Notamacropus eugenii: one gene and its partner. The protein of the gene in region 1 purifies or fractionates together with the protein of each later gene. This does not show direct contact. Links are inferred from orthologs where the notes say so. Each region holds a gene or a part of one and is shown on either strand. Other genes may lie near its edges.

The links. Proteins that work in one complex are often made in the same cells at the same time.
Region 2: the proteins of ILK (region 1) and GCN1 purify together in Homo sapiens (affinity purification with mass spectrometry; 3 studies listed by BioGRID and IntAct, with this or other methods). This does not show direct contact. The link is inferred for Notamacropus eugenii from reciprocal best matches to the Homo sapiens genes ILK and GCN1.

Annotation. Positions count from the first base shown.
Region 1 is NC_092876.1:88,829,807-88,837,603, reverse strand, and holds the start of ILK (scaffold protein ILK), read left to right. Parts: upstream 1-4,776; 5' UTR 4,777-4,886; intron 4,887-5,228; exon of another isoform or gene 5,229-5,306; intron 5,307-5,873; 5' UTR 5,874-5,893; coding exon 5,894-5,982; intron 5,983-7,039; exon of another isoform or gene 7,040-7,797. Other genes in the region: RRP8 (ribosomal RNA-processing protein 8), read right to left, coding at 4,549-4,647. UniProt on the Homo sapiens protein: Scaffold protein which mediates protein-protein interactions during a range of cellular events including focal adhesion assembly, cell adhesion and cell migration.
Region 2 is NC_092875.1:25,072,244-25,079,461, reverse strand, and holds the start of GCN1 (stalled ribosome sensor GCN1), read right to left. Parts: upstream 3,099-7,218; 5' UTR 2,959-3,098; coding exon 2,941-2,958; intron 408-2,940; coding exon 305-407; intron 1-304. Other genes in the region: RPLP0 (large ribosomal subunit protein uL10), read right to left, coding at 6,861-7,022. UniProt on the Homo sapiens protein: Ribosome collision sensor that plays a key role in the RNF14-RNF25 translation quality control pathway, a pathway that takes place when a ribosome has stalled during translation, and which promotes ubiquitination and degradation of translation factors on stalled ribosomes.

The DNA.
Region 1 (7,797 bases):
CTTGTTGACTCAGTCTGACAAGAAGTATTTATTAGACTCTTACTAGGTACCGTGCTCTGTGGTCATCAAGAGTGACACAAAGACAAAAGTCAAATGACTGCCTGCCATCAATAAGGTTATCCTACTGAAGAGAGGGACAAGGTGGGGATAGTAAGGTAAGTATATACAAAGCAAACACACAGTTATCTTTTAAGAGGAAGCACTAACAATGGGGGGCAGAGGAAGGTGGATCAAGAAAAGCTTTAAGTAGGAGCTGGCCCTTGAGCTGAGCTTCTAAAAGATAGAGGTGAGGAGGAAAAATATTCCAGACACAAGGACAAGTCTATGCAAAGCCTGTACAAAGGTGGGAGGTGGAATGCTAGGCATAACTAATGGGAAGTAGGTCAGTTTGGCCAGAATGTACAGTGTATGAGGGGAAATAACATGAAAGTAGTCTGGAGAGATAGGCTTGGAATCAATGAAACATTAAAAAAAATATAATATATAACATTTAAAAAACTAAGTTTTTAAACTGTAAGTTTACAATTTCATATACATTCTTCACTGTCTTTTAAAATGGTTGTGTTTGTTAAATTCTTAATAACAAAAGAAAAAAGAAAGGCTGGAGTCTTTCACACATCAGAGTGTGGTTCTGACACATGAAGGGAAGAGTCCTTCTTCTTCCCTGACTCAGGCAACAGAATCACGGCTCAAGGAGCTAGAAAGCTCATTGGAGATCATCTAATCATAGGATAGTGGCCTTAGCACCAAGAAAGAGACCTCAGGTCATAGATGACTCATCCTCTGAATTTAAAGATGGGGAAAATGAGACCTGGAGAGGCTTACTGACCCGCCTGAGATCACAAATGTAATAAAGACAGAGAGAGGATCTGAAACCATACCCTTAGTCCGACTTCCTTAGTTTTTAGAAGAGCATAGTGAGGCCCACTGAGGGCATGCTACCTGGCTCAGGTTTTATACAGGCAGAGAATTCCAAAGCTGAGATTCAAACCCAGGTGCTTTAGCCTCAAACACCAGGAGGCGTTCCCTTTTAAGTTCATTTCCTCATCTGTAAAATGAGGATAAGAAATGCTGGCCAGGGGCTGTGGAAGAAAAGCAGACAGGCAAATGATGATTACTACGTTCCACCCAGTCATATGTTCTGTACATGTCCCAGGCTCATGCTCCTCCCTTAGCCCACAACTATCCTGCTGAACCCACAGTTACCTGCTGGTGTCCTAGTCATCTTTCAAAGCCAAGTTCAGGTACTTGCATCCTCCTCAAGGAAGCCTTCCCCCATTTTTGTAATCATCTAGCATTAATTTTTGACTTTTCTTGGGTCCTGATACAATTTTGCCAGCTGTGGAGTTCTGGGTTCTGCCCTTCTATTCCTGAGATGTCAAATAATGGTGGAGAAAGCCACTGAAGCCATTACAAATTCATGCTATCTCACCCAGGAGCCTGGCAGTACTTCTATTTGTGAGAGGCAGCAGGCATCAATGCCAGAAAAGACCTAGGTTTGAGTCCTTCCTCTGACATGCTGGTGGTATGACACTGGTCAAGTTCTAATCTCTCGATGCTCTAGGAAACTCTCTAAGACTACTGGTATCTAAGACGATACCGAAATGCATAGGTTAAGGGAGTTTCTTCCCTGAAGAGTTCCCCATAACAATGACATCATGAAGCCAGTTTCTTTTCCTGATTGGCTCTTCTGTCATACCGTCCACAGTGCCTGCTCCCTACCTTTTCAGGCTCCTTAATTTCCACTCTCTCGGTATACCACCTTGATTCCTATTTTAGTATAACTGAATTCATAAGTCATGAACTCCTTCAATTTCTTCCCTCCAAAGCGCAATCCCTCTGCTTGTGCCTTTGGGACTCTTCAATTTCCCCCTCTTTACTGGGTCCTTTCCCTGAGGCTGCAAATTTGGTCAGGTCTCCTCCCAACTTTAAAATGAAACATTGGTTTAAAATTAATATATTTCTTCACCATCACTGTTAGACTGCTAGAAAGAAGAGTCGACATTCACTGTTTCCACTTCCTTACACCTTCCTATTCTGGTAATCCCCACAGTACTTTCAGCAGTCCTGAAAAAGCTCTCCCAAAGTTCATAGTTGCCTTTTCTAATCTTCCTTAACCTCAAACTTCCCCTAGTCATGTCTCCCACTTTTTCTGGATAGTATTCATTAATCTCCTCTTATTTATCTGATCACTCATTCTTCTGAGACCCCAGATCCATGTTGTACCTCCTAATTGTGAATGCCCCCCAAAATCTGTCTCCTACACTTTGTCCCTAGTTGACCTCACTAGCCCCATGGCCATAACTGTCACCTTTGGTCCTGGGTCCACTTCTTTCTTCTCTCTATTCTGTCTCCTCAGGTGATCTCATCACGCCCCATGACTATAGTTGTCACCTCTGCTCTCAGGGTTACCTCCTAATTCAGGTCATCATGGCTCCCTTGTACTACTATAAAACCTCATAACTATGCATCCAGTCTGTTTTTTTCTCATTAATTTTCATACAGGTGACAAAATATTTTCTGTTTTTTACTCTGCTGATCAAAAATCTTCAAGGGTTCTCTGCCTCTAGAATAAAATTCAAACTCCTCAGCATGGCATTTAAAGTTACGAACAATCTGACTCCAACTAATCTTAACAGCCTTGTTTCAGCCCATTTCACATATACTACTTTTTCACTGGTCTTACATGTCTTGTCTTCAGCTTCAGTGAATTAACATTAGCACAGGCTCTCCCTGCCTCTCCCCCAGCAGGAATTCGATCTTTCCTCTCCTTGGACTCTTGTGAACCTTCCTTCTCTTAACCTTAAGACTTAAGCTCAGTTGTTACCTCCTCTAGGATGCCTTCCTCCTTTTCATCTTCTTCCCCATCTACTCACAACACCTCCCTTCCTCCTTCCAGCAAAATGTCAATTTCAGGCAGAAGTTATCTTTCATACCCACATTCCCAGTGGTCCTTCCTACCTAGGACATCAGGGAACTTCCACCAACACTTAATTTCTAAGTTAAGAGATGGACAACATTTTTGCAACAAGCATCCCTGATAAGGGCCTCATTTCTCAAATAAGTGGAGAACTGAGTCAAATTCCCCAATTGATAAATGGTCAAAGGATATGAACAGGCAGTTTTCAGATAAAGAAATCAAAGCTATCTAGTTACATGAAAAAATGTTCTAAACCACTACTGATTAATGTAAATGAAGCAACGCTGAGGTACCACCTCATACCTTTCAGATTGGCCAATATGACAAAACGGGAAAGTGTTAGATGTTGGACGGGATGTGTGAAAACTGGGACACTAATGCACTGCTGGTGGAGTTGTGAACTGATCCAACCATTCTGGAGAGCAATTTGGAACTATGTCCAAAGGGCTATAAAACTGTGCATATCCTTTTGATCCAGAAATACCATTGCTAGGTCTATATCCCAAAGACATCCAAAAAAAGGGAAAAGAACCTATTGTACAAAAATATTTATAGCAGCTCTTTTGTGTTGGCTAAGATTTGGAAATAGAAGGGATGTCCATAAATTGGGGAATGGCTAAACAAACTTGGTATATGATTGTAATGAATAATGAAATATTATGGAGCTATAAGAAATATCAAGCAGGATGATTTCAGAAAAACCTGGAAAGACTTGCATGAACGGACGCAGAGTGAAGTGAATAGAACTGGGAGAATATCATACACAGTAAGAGCAATACTGATCGATCAAGATTGTAAACATCTTAACTCTTCTCAGCAATACAACGCTACAATACAAAACAACCCCGAAGTATACTACGCACCTCCTGAGAAAGAACTGATACAGCTGCAACAGTGAGCACGCTACTTTTCGTTTTCTTTTATTCTAGTCTTGCACAGAATGCCTAACATGGACATGTTGTGCATAAATGCACACACATAACCCACATCTGACTGCTCACAGTCTCAGCGGGGGTGGGGGGGTGCAGATAGAATCTGGAACTCAAAATTTTAAATAAAACTGTGAAAGTAAAAGAGAGAGACGGACAACAAGGACCAAACTCGGAGGTGAAAAGGCCTTACCCCCGTCTGCGCCCCCCGCCTGCGCCCGCCGCCTCGCCCCCCGCCTCCCCGGCGCTAGGACACAACCCGGCAGGCATCAGACGGGAATGAGCCAGAGCAAGCAGTCCCGGGGGAACCCGCTCTGCCCTCCTCCGGCCCGACACCACCGAGCCCTCCGGGGCTCTCGAACACAGGCACACGCAGCGGGGGAAGGTCGCACGGACACTAGGGCTCAGCGAATCTGGGCCCACGATGAGGGGGAGGGTTAGGACACGCTGACACCGGGTCCCAAGAACCCTGGGGCCCGCGACAGGAGATGGAGCGTCAGGCGAACACAGCGGCCACGACGCAATCACGGGGTTCCCACGAGCCTCAGACCGGGCCCGCGACCCAGGGAGGGCGTCACGCAGACCCCGGGGGGCGGGGAGGGGGAGGACACGCGGACACGCGGACGCGCGGCTCACGGGAAGCCCGGCGCCCACCGCACAGCGGGGGGTATCGCGCCCACGCTCGGGGCAAACACTCACCTTGATGCGCGGCGCCCGCCCGACACTGGCGCGTGGGGTCGGGAGCGGGCGGGCGGCCGGGGCCGGGGGCTCGTCGGCCCACTCGGGCTCCTCGAACATGGGGGCTGCGAGGCCACGTGGGCCTCCGCCACCGCCGCCAGCCCGGGAGCAGCGAGACGACGCTGCGCTGGCAGAGCGGCCGCTCCGCCCGCCGGCGACCAGCGAGAGGAGGCTTCGGGCGGCCAGAGCGGCTGCGTGGCGAGGGGCGGGGCCGGGCCGGGGCGGGTGTGGCAGGACTGGCGAAGGAGGCAGCGGCCGGAGCGGGCGGCTGGCGCGTCTGGACCTGGACCCGAGCCCCGGTGAGCGATCGTGCGGGCCTGCACCTGCCCCTGGGGTTGGGGAGATGGGGGCGGGGCCACGAGCCCATTTTACAGAGGAGGAAACTGAGGCCTGAGGGTGGGAGGGAGCCTCCGGCGGTCCGCGGGCCTGGAGAGAAGGCGGGCGGAGTCCCGGGTCCAGCCTCACGGCTGCCGCCGGGACGCCGTGTAATCGCGGGCCTGTCCCGACTCTCTCTCGGGGCGTCGGGCCCCTTAGCTGCCTCGGCGGGGCTCCGGGCAGTCTGCGCCGGGGCCTCCCCCCACCCTCGTCTGGGGCGGGGGTGGCTTCGGGGAGGGGAAGGGGACAACGCCCAGGACCAGCCCAGCTTGGATGGAGTAGTGGTCTTCTCACCCTGGGGCACTCCCAGCACCCACGCAGATAGCAGCTTAGTTAACTGTTCGGTGAGTTGCGGTGGCAGAAGATAAGCAGAAGATAATTTGTTCCCCGGGGACAAACTTCTCGCGTGGAGCCTCCGAGCCTTAGCCCAGCTGGTCCTCCCTCGACCGACACTCTGGGTCGTGCTGTGCTGGTGAAGCCCCGGGAGGACTTGGTTCCAGGCTTATCTTTGCCCAGTCAGGATACTAGTCTGGAGACGAGTGTATGGATTCAAGTGGGGTGGGGGGGCGTAGAAAAGCATGCCTTCTGTAGCTCACACACCTTCTTAGGGCTTAAGAACCTTCTTAAGGTGCCAACTGTTGTCCTTTTTAGTCAGGACCACCCCTGAAAGGGATGTGTGTGGTACAACTAGGAAGAATTATCAAACATGACTTTCCCAAGAAGGGTATCTAACATCATCTTCTGCAACCTTCCCCCATCCAGCTGCTCGGGGAGTGGGGGTGACCAACTAGGACGTAAAGTGGGAGAGAAAGTTAGGGAGCTAGCTCTTCTCTTTGGGAGGAGGTAGTAAGTCCTGATAACCCTATGCCCACATTGATTAGTACCTCTCCCCCATCCTCCTGACTATCCAGGGTCGTAAGAAGCTGTCACCATGGACGACATTTTCACTCAGTGCCGGGAGGGCAATGCTGTGGCTGTTCGTTTGTGGCTGGACAACACAGAAAACGACTTGAACCAAGGGTGAGAGGATCTGAGGGGAAAGTTGGCAAGGAGGTGTGTCTGGGCAGGGCAAACAAGGCTCCGGAAAACCTTGGTGTAATAATGTATATTTTTGGTATCTAGTCCGCAGCCCTTTCTTGCCCTTTGCTTCGACAGTGCCTCTACTTTCTGTGATCCATACCTTCTCCTAACACTGGGACATATGGAGGGGACAGGTGATGTTGGGTGGGATTTTTTTGTTTTGCAGAAAAAAGAAAGGATACACAGGACATCCACAACTGGGCTGGGGAACACAAGTTGGAAGTGGAATATGTTTGGTGGAAACATTGGGATAGGGTTTCAGGGCCTAGGTTCCTGGTACAGCTGAGCAAGATGAAGACCCCAATTCTTGCCCTTAGAGTGGGGAAGATGAGGCCCCTATATATAGAACTCTGAAAAGCAGAATGTGAAAGTGTTAGGGAATTCAGAAGACATCACATGCAGATCTCATTGGACTAGATATTCATTTCCAAAGTCTCAGATCTATGATTCTAATATTTCCCTTTTGGATTTCACTGCAGTCTTTGACAGTTTCTTATGGGAGTAGGACACAAGAGTTGTGAGCTCTAGCCTCTTGTTGTCTAGCCCCTGGGCTAGGAAAATTAGGCAGATTCAGACCTAAGAGTAATGGGTCAGTGTTAGGTTGGTGGAAGGTCTCTAAGTGGAATGGCCCAGGCATGTCCTTGACTTTTGCTGCTCAGCATTTTCATTATTGACTTGAGTAGAGGTCTAGATGGCACATCTATCCTATTTGCAGATGTCATGAAACTAGAAACAGTAGCTAAAAACTGGAAAACAGAATCAGGAACCAAAATCACCCTGTGAACCTATGATCAGGCCAAATCTAATATGATGAAATTTCATAGGGATATCCAAGCATCTAGTCTTATTTTTGGATTAAGAATTGCAATTGCACAAATACCAGATTGTGAATGTGCAGCTAAACAATTCCTGTGGAAAAATTCTGGGGGATTTTATACATGTGGAATTATGAGTTAATAGGAGACTACAGTCAAAAAAGCTAACTGCTACATTTGGAGACATTCATTCAGCCCACACTTTATTCAGCACTTGCCCTGTGCTAGGCAGTGGTAGTACAAAAGTAAAAATGAAGCATTCCCTCCTCTCAAGGAGCTTCCACTCCACTGGAGGAGAGGAGAGATCAAATATGTATATACATCAATCCAAAATGAATTCAAAGTGATTGGGAAGGCCACTGACACTAATGACAGGAGGGTGATCAGGAAAGGCCCCTTTTACCAAGGAGCACTTGAGCTGAGCCTGAAAAAAAGTCAGTAATTCTAGAAGGCCTAGGTGAAAAGGGAGTTCATCCCACTCATGGGGGACAATATGTATGGGTACAAAAAGGGCATAGAGGCTAGAGATGGGATGCCAAATTTGGAGAATAACAAACAGGCAGTTTTTCCTGAAAATTAGCATGTCCAAGAAAGAGTAATGGGAAGTCAGTCTGGATAGTTCAGAACTTCATTGACAAGAATTTTAAAAGCCAAAAAAAGAGTATTACATAGTAGAGGCAACAGTCACTAAACCTTCTTGAGCAGAGGAGTGATAGGGTCAGCCCTGTGTTTTAGAAACAAAAATTTGGAGGCTATGGATTGAATATGCCCAGTTAGGAGTCTTTTGCAGCAGTCTAGGCAAGAGATACCTAAAGGAGAGTGGTGGTTGTGTGAATAGAGAGGGGATTAGTATGAGAAATATTGTGGAAGTGAAATCTCAAAAAGCTTGGAAACTGATGGGTTGTGGTAGCTGAAGGAGGGTGAAAAATGAAAAATGATT
Region 2 (7,218 bases), on another chromosome or scaffold:
TTAATCTGTTAAACTATGAAAACTGGAGTTTAAGGACTCCTAGTATCATCTAAATATAATTTATAAAAGAATGGTTCCTTTGGAGGGGAGCCTGCTAGACTGTATTTCTTTAAACGTATCCCAACAGGCAAAGCTTTTACTGTATATACTATTAACTACATAAAAATAAACGTTCTGGCTTAAAAGGCATCTTTGTACTCCTGAATGAGGATTCCCGGGAAAAAAAGAGTCATGAGCTAATGAAAATGTGATTTGCACTTTAAATGGTGTATATCCCTTCCTACACAAATGAACGTTCACTTACCTCTTCCAGCGACACATTTCCCAAGATCATTAAGGATCTCACTCCGTTCCTTCACACTGGCTGTAGTCACCTTTACGGCGAAACGCTTCAGCGTCTCAGAAACCTGTAGAAGTCACCCACAGACACACACACACACACACACAAAGAGATCACCCGTGAATATATGAATGTATGCACAGATACACACACATGCACGCATACACATACACACACACAAAGAGATCACCCGTGAATGTATGCATAGATTTACATACACGCATGCATACACATATACACACACATACACACAAGAAAGCAGGTCAAGATATGGGGGAAAAGAAAGAAATTACAGAATCTCTCAGCCAGCGGGTCAGTCAGCCTATAGAAAAGCCATGAGAGGGTGAACGTCAGTGACCTCAGGACAGAAAGTAACACCCTTTCCGCATCAGGGGCCTGTAACCTCAGCACCTGCACTCATGAAACCAAACCTGCTGATCACCCCTTAGGTTCGGCCTGTTTCAGCCAACATTAATTAAGCAGAGACACAGAGAAGACATTTCAGGAAGCCTATGCCTAGCAGCAGTCAGTGAGACCTAAGACTGAAGGCAGGGAGTGACATCGTGGAAACCACTGGCTTTCCTTGCTCCCTCATGATCCCTTTTTAAATCTATGTACCTACATACGTATGTGGGTACATATATACATTCATATATACACATGCTCACACGTAATTCAGTTTTATAGTTATCATTTTCATTCATCTTCTCCTCTTTCACCAAAATAAAAATGATCGTTAAGTTTTTCATGTAAGCCATTCCCTCTCCCCCAAAACAAGGGGATTACCTACTCTTAAGATGTCAGTCTGACACTAAAGAGGTGCCTGAGGTCTTCTGTGAAGGATCAGAGGGCTTCGGCTCCCCACAGGGGCTGCTACTACAACTCAACAGGCACTGTGGAACTTTGCAAACCCCCCAAAGACCCTCTAAAAATGGCACTTCAGGAGGCTTTCCAATGAAATAGCATCCGCAAAAACTGCCCACAGAGCCTGCTGTGACCTGGCTGGCCAGCCTCGACACTCAATCGTGGAATTAAAGGATGCTCTCGTCCAGCACGCCCCCTTTTACAGAGGTCATCACTGAGGCACAGAGAAGGCACCTGGCCTTTTTACAGACCTGGGACCCCCACCAAGCCCATGGAGGCCCCTAAAGTCCAGCTTCTCTCATTCAATCTCTTTCCCTTTTTAAGTATGAAATGGAACCTTCTGGCTCTTCTCCCTTTCCCCTCCTAGCCCCTGACAAGGCTGGGCCCGCAGGGCCCTGGGCCGAGTCTGGGGACCTCTCTTTTCACCTAAATTTCATCCCCTCTGCTGTCAGGAGAGCCCGGCCTGGGGGCCCCCACCGAGGGCTGCCCGGACCCGGGGCCCCCACCGAGGGCTGGAGACCCGGGGCCCCCACCGAGGACTGGCCGGACCCGGGGCCCCCACGGAGAGTTGGCCGGACCCGGGGCCCCAACCGAGGGCTGGCCGGACCCGGGGCCCCCACCGAGGACTGGCCGGACCCGGGGCCCCCACCGAGGGCTGGAGACCCGGGGCCCCCACCGAGGACTGGCCGGACCCGGGGCCCCCATCGAGGACTGGCCGGACCCGGGGCCCCCATCGAGGGCTGGAGACCCACCCAGGGTTGGCCAGACCCGTGGCCCCCACCGAGGGCTGGAGACCCACCCAAGGTTGGCCGGACCCGGGGCCCCCACCGAGGACTGGCCGGACCCGGGGCCCCCACCCAGGGTTGGCCGGACCCGGGGCTCGCACCCAGGGCTGGAGACCCGTGGCTCCCACCGAGGGCTGGCCGGACCCGGGGCTCCCACGGAGGGTTGGCTGGACCCGGGGCTCGCACCCAGGGCTGCCCGGACCCGGGGCCCCCACCGAGGACTGGCCGGACCCGGGGCCCCCACCGAGGGCTGGAGACCCGGGGCCCCCACCGAGGACTGGCCGGACCCGGGGCCCCCACCGAGGGCTGGAGACCCACCCAAGGTTGGCCGGACCCGGGGCCCCCACCGAGGACTGGCCGGACCCGGGGCTCGCACCCAGGGCTGGAGACCCGTGGCTCCCACCGAGGGCTGACCGGACCCGTGGCCCCCACCCAGGGTTGGCCGGACCCGTGGCCCCCACCCAGGGCTGCCCGGCCCAGGCCCCTTCTCTTCAGACAGGGACAGCCGCCCACAATTTGGGGTGAGTCTGAACCCTGGCCCGATCAGCCGCAAGGCCTCAGTTTCCCCCTCTAGTAAAACGAAGCAACACCAAATGACCTCGTGACCCCACAGCGGGCTCCCTTAGATTGTGGGGCTCCGAGGGGGGCTCAGTAAGGGGCAGGGGCTGGGCACGCGTTGAGAAGGCTGGCAACGGGGAGACTGAGACCGAAACGGAGGAGCCGAGACTGCGAGGGACGGTGCGGCTGGAGGCGGCTCCGGACGCTCCGCACCGGCAGCTGTCCCTCGGCCGCGGAGCCGCCCCTGCCCACGTCGCTCGCTCTCGCCCTCTAGGGGTCTCCGTCTCTCGGCTCCTCCCTCCGTGGCCTCCCCAGCCGCGCAGAGGCCGAGCCCCGAGGCGCCCCGGGCCGTAGCCGGAGCCGCCCCCCCTCCCCCCGGGACGCCAGCCTCACCTGCGTGTCCGCCGCCATCCTGCCGGCTCTGACCCCGGAACCGTTTTCGGCTCACATCCGGGTCACCCCAGAGCCCGCACGCTCACGCACACTCATACACACACTCACACCTCGCCCCGCCCTCCCACGCCGGGAACCAGGAGGCGGGGCCAATCACCATGGAGACGCGGAGCCCCACCCCCTCCCGCGAGCTTGGCCCCGGGGACACCTGGGAGCTCTCGGGCGGAGCCCGCCCCCTGCTGCGCTGGCGTGGGCGGGGACAAGCCATCCCCTGCACGTGGTCCCGGGATCACCAGGACAGGAAGGGAGGAGAGGGGAGGGGAAGGGGGAGGGGAGGGAGGAGGGAGGGGAAGGGGGGAGGGCAGGGCGCTCCTGGAGACCGTCGGAATTGTTGGGGAAAGTGGCGAAGCTAAATCATGCAAAGCTGTTAGCAGCTCCAAGTGTTCCTGAAATGTCCCCCGGGAAGACACTTCATCTCCAACCTCCGCGCCTTTGCAAGGGGCTAGGATCAGCCAATCAGTCAACATTTATTAAGCGCCTACTACATGCCAGACACTGTGCTAAGTGCTGGGGATGCAAGAAGAGGCCAAAGGCGGTCCTTGCCCTCAAGGACCTCCTTCCACTCTGATGGGGGAGACAACATGCAAACAAATATGTACAAATGCGCTGTTTTCAGAATAAGTAGAAAATAATGAGGGAAGAGCCTATAAAAGTAAGAGAAGTTGGGGGGCTTCCTGCAGAAGGTGGGATTTTAGGGGGGACTTAAAGGGAAGTCAGTGGTTGGAGCAGGAGGAAGAGCCGGAGAGAATGCCCCGAGAGGGGAGATGGACTGTCTGGGTCTGGGAACAAGGACCCGCATCCTCCTCTCCAGAGCTCCCTGCAAGACTTAGCTCAAGCATTAGACCTTTCAGGAAGCCTTCCCTTAATTCCCATAATTCTGTGTCCATCGTATGCATAACTGTCCACTGTCCTAATAAAGAGATTTTTGGTGAACATCCAGGATTCCTGTCCGTGGGCCTGGTCTCCTGAGTCAATCTCCACGACTATATGTCACAGCCCCCCAACAAATCCAGAAAGGAACATTAACTCCCCAAATACATTTTTTAAACTCCAAAGCATCTTTCTCATGATGCTGTAAAATAGTCACGAAAAGTATTATTACCATGTTATGAGTGAGGAAATTGAATCTCAGACCAGCTGTTGTGCAGAAGCCAGGCTTCAATCATGCTCTGGACTCCAAAAGCCGGGTCAGTGACCTCCCACTATACTACACTGCCTAAGATTTCAAGTGCAAATAAGACTCAGTGCTATAACAGAAAGTAACACCCCTGTAACAGGTGCTTACAGACCCAAAGGTCAATTGTTTTTTCAGGGGTTGTGTTAAAAGTGCAATTATTTTTTAAATGTTTTGAGGAGATGGCCTAGCTGTACCAGATCTTAAATTGTCTTATAAGGCAGCCATCATTAAAACTACTTGGTACTGGCTAAGAAATAGGGTGGTGGATCAGTGGAATAGGTAAGGTACACAAGACACAGAGGGCGATGACTGTAGTAATCTACTGTTAGATAAACCCAAAGACTCCAGCTTCTGGGCTAAGAACTCACTATCTAACAAAAACTTCTGGGAAAACTGGAAAATAGTACGGCAGAAACTAGGCATAGACCAACATCTAACCCTGCTAGTCAAAACTAGTACGTGATTTACATATAAAAACTGATACAATAAGCAAATTAGGGAAGCAAGGAATAGTTTACCTGTCAGTTCTATGGAGAGGAATTTATGAACAAATGAGATGGAGGACATTATGAAATGCAAAATGGATAATTTTGATTACATTAAATTGAAGTTTTTGCACAAACAAACCCAGTGCAACAAAGATTAGAAGGGACGTAGAAAGTTGGGAAACAATTTTATAGCCAGTGTCTCTGATAAAGGCTTCATTTCTAAAATATATAGAGAACTGAGTCGAATTTATAAAAATACAAGTCATTCCCCAATTGATAAATGGTCAAAGGCTACAAAGTGTTTTTTCAGAGGAAGAAATTATCTATAGTCATATGAAAAAATGCTCTAAATCATGTTTAATTAGAGAAATGCAAATCAAAACTCTGAGGTACCACATCACACCTATCAGATTGGCTAACATATCAGGAAAATGATAAACGTTGGAGATGTGGGAAAATTGGAACACTAATGAAATACTGGTTCATACCCTTTGACTCATCAATACTTCTAGGTTTGTATCCCAAAGAGACCATAAAAACAGGAAAAGGGCCCACATGAACAAAAATATTTACAGCAGCTCTTTTTGTGGTGACAAAAAATTGGAAATTGAGATGTCCACCCATTGGGGAACGGCTGGACAAGTTCTCTTCACATGTGGTATATGAATGTAATGGAATACTATTGTTGTAAGAAATGATGAGTGGGCAGACTTCAGAAAAACCTGGAAAGACTTCTATGAACTGGCACTGAGTGTAGTCAGCAGAAATCACCAGGACATTATACACAGGAGCAGCCAGCATGAGAGGATTCATTCTGATAGACCTAGCTCCTCTCAGCAATGCAAGGATCTAAAACAATTCCAAAAGACTCATGATGGAAAATACCATACACATCCAGAGAAAGAACTATTGTCCTTTTCTTTTGTTTCTTCTCATGGCTCCTCCCATTAGATCCTTCTTTACATCATGACTAATGTGAACATGAACGTTTAACAATAAAGCCTTTATCAGATTGCATGCTGTCTTGGGGAGGAAAAAATTTTAAACTCAAAAAGTTTATGGAAGTGAATGCTGAAAACAAAAAAGAAATTATGTATTTAAAAAAAGTCAGCAAATGTAACCAAAAAAAAGTTTTGAGGGGAAGTTTATATCCTAAATAGAGAGGTTTTTTTCCTCCATGTTCCTCACAGCCTGGTTCCATTTCCAGCTAACAACTTCCAATTTGGTTCAAACCCCAGCTCTGACATATAACATACCTGATCAACCCTGAGTAGCTCATCACTTTATGCAATTGTCTCAGCAGTTGAAATGGACCATCTGGTCCGTTAAAGCTCCTTCCAGCACATGGAAGGCAACAGAAAAAGAATCCAAGCACTGGCAGCCCTCAAGCTCCCCACTCTCCTCCTCATTTGGAGGCCACATACACAGCAGACTCTTCACAAGTTCTTACTCCCATAAATACAAAGTAATTTCTGTCAATGCTGAATGAGCACCACTCACACAATGTTTAAAGGAGAACATTTTGTAGTAAAGAACAAAATGTAAAGCTGATGCCCATTCATCAAGCAATGGCTAAGCAGGTTTGTGGTAGACAAAAAACTTGTTTTATGAGTCTAATAAAAAGGCAAGCCTGGCAGCCCATGAAGTGATGCAAAGTGAAGCAGAAGAACCAGAAAATGCATTGTCAACATAAATGAGCATGCTCCCTCCTTGGCACAGGTGAAGACTACAGCTCCAGGTATAGAAATTGGGACTTCATTCATTTGTTGAACTGGTTATAAACGACAGAGATAATACAAAGACAAGCAATCAATAAGGATCCACAGGCACACAGCTGGACAGATGGGAGCGGAGATTCATAGGGATCTTGGCTCAGACATCCATCACCCTCCTCCTACAACTATCCCAGTATCAAAAACTGGAAAAACCACCCCACATCACTCCCTTCTGTCATGTTTTCACAAGATTTTTTCATTACACCATTTAGAAGAGGCACAAAGGACTTTGCAATGATTATTTCAATTTCTCCTCCCAACCCAGAGAGGTGGGGGCTATAATCCCCATTTTATAGATTTTACAGTTTATAAATTCTTGTGGTTAAAAGTATGAACACAAGAAGCAGAGGCTGAGATAAATGAGCATTTTTATTCCTTTGTTTCACAAATAAACTGGCTGAAATAGTTGTTTCCCGTGGGCTAATCAAACAGACCAAATCCCATATCTTCATCAGACTCTTCCGACTCTTCCTTGGCTTCCACCTTGGCTGGAGCGGCAGCAGCCGGTGCAGCAGCAGCTGGAGCAGCTGCCACAGGGGCGGCCACTGCAAATGCGGAGGGGTCGGCCAGGAAGGCCTTCACCTGAAAATAGGGACATGAGTTAGCACTGCACCGCACCTCTCCTCCCACCCATCTCCTATATCTCTGAGTCAATAGGTTCAAAGCCCCTAGAAATGGGTAACAAGCCAAGGAAATCCCACAGAGGGTCAAGATTCCCTCAGGCACAGTGGTCATGCACCTACAGCTTCCACTTAACTATCACAGATCAAGGGGCCAG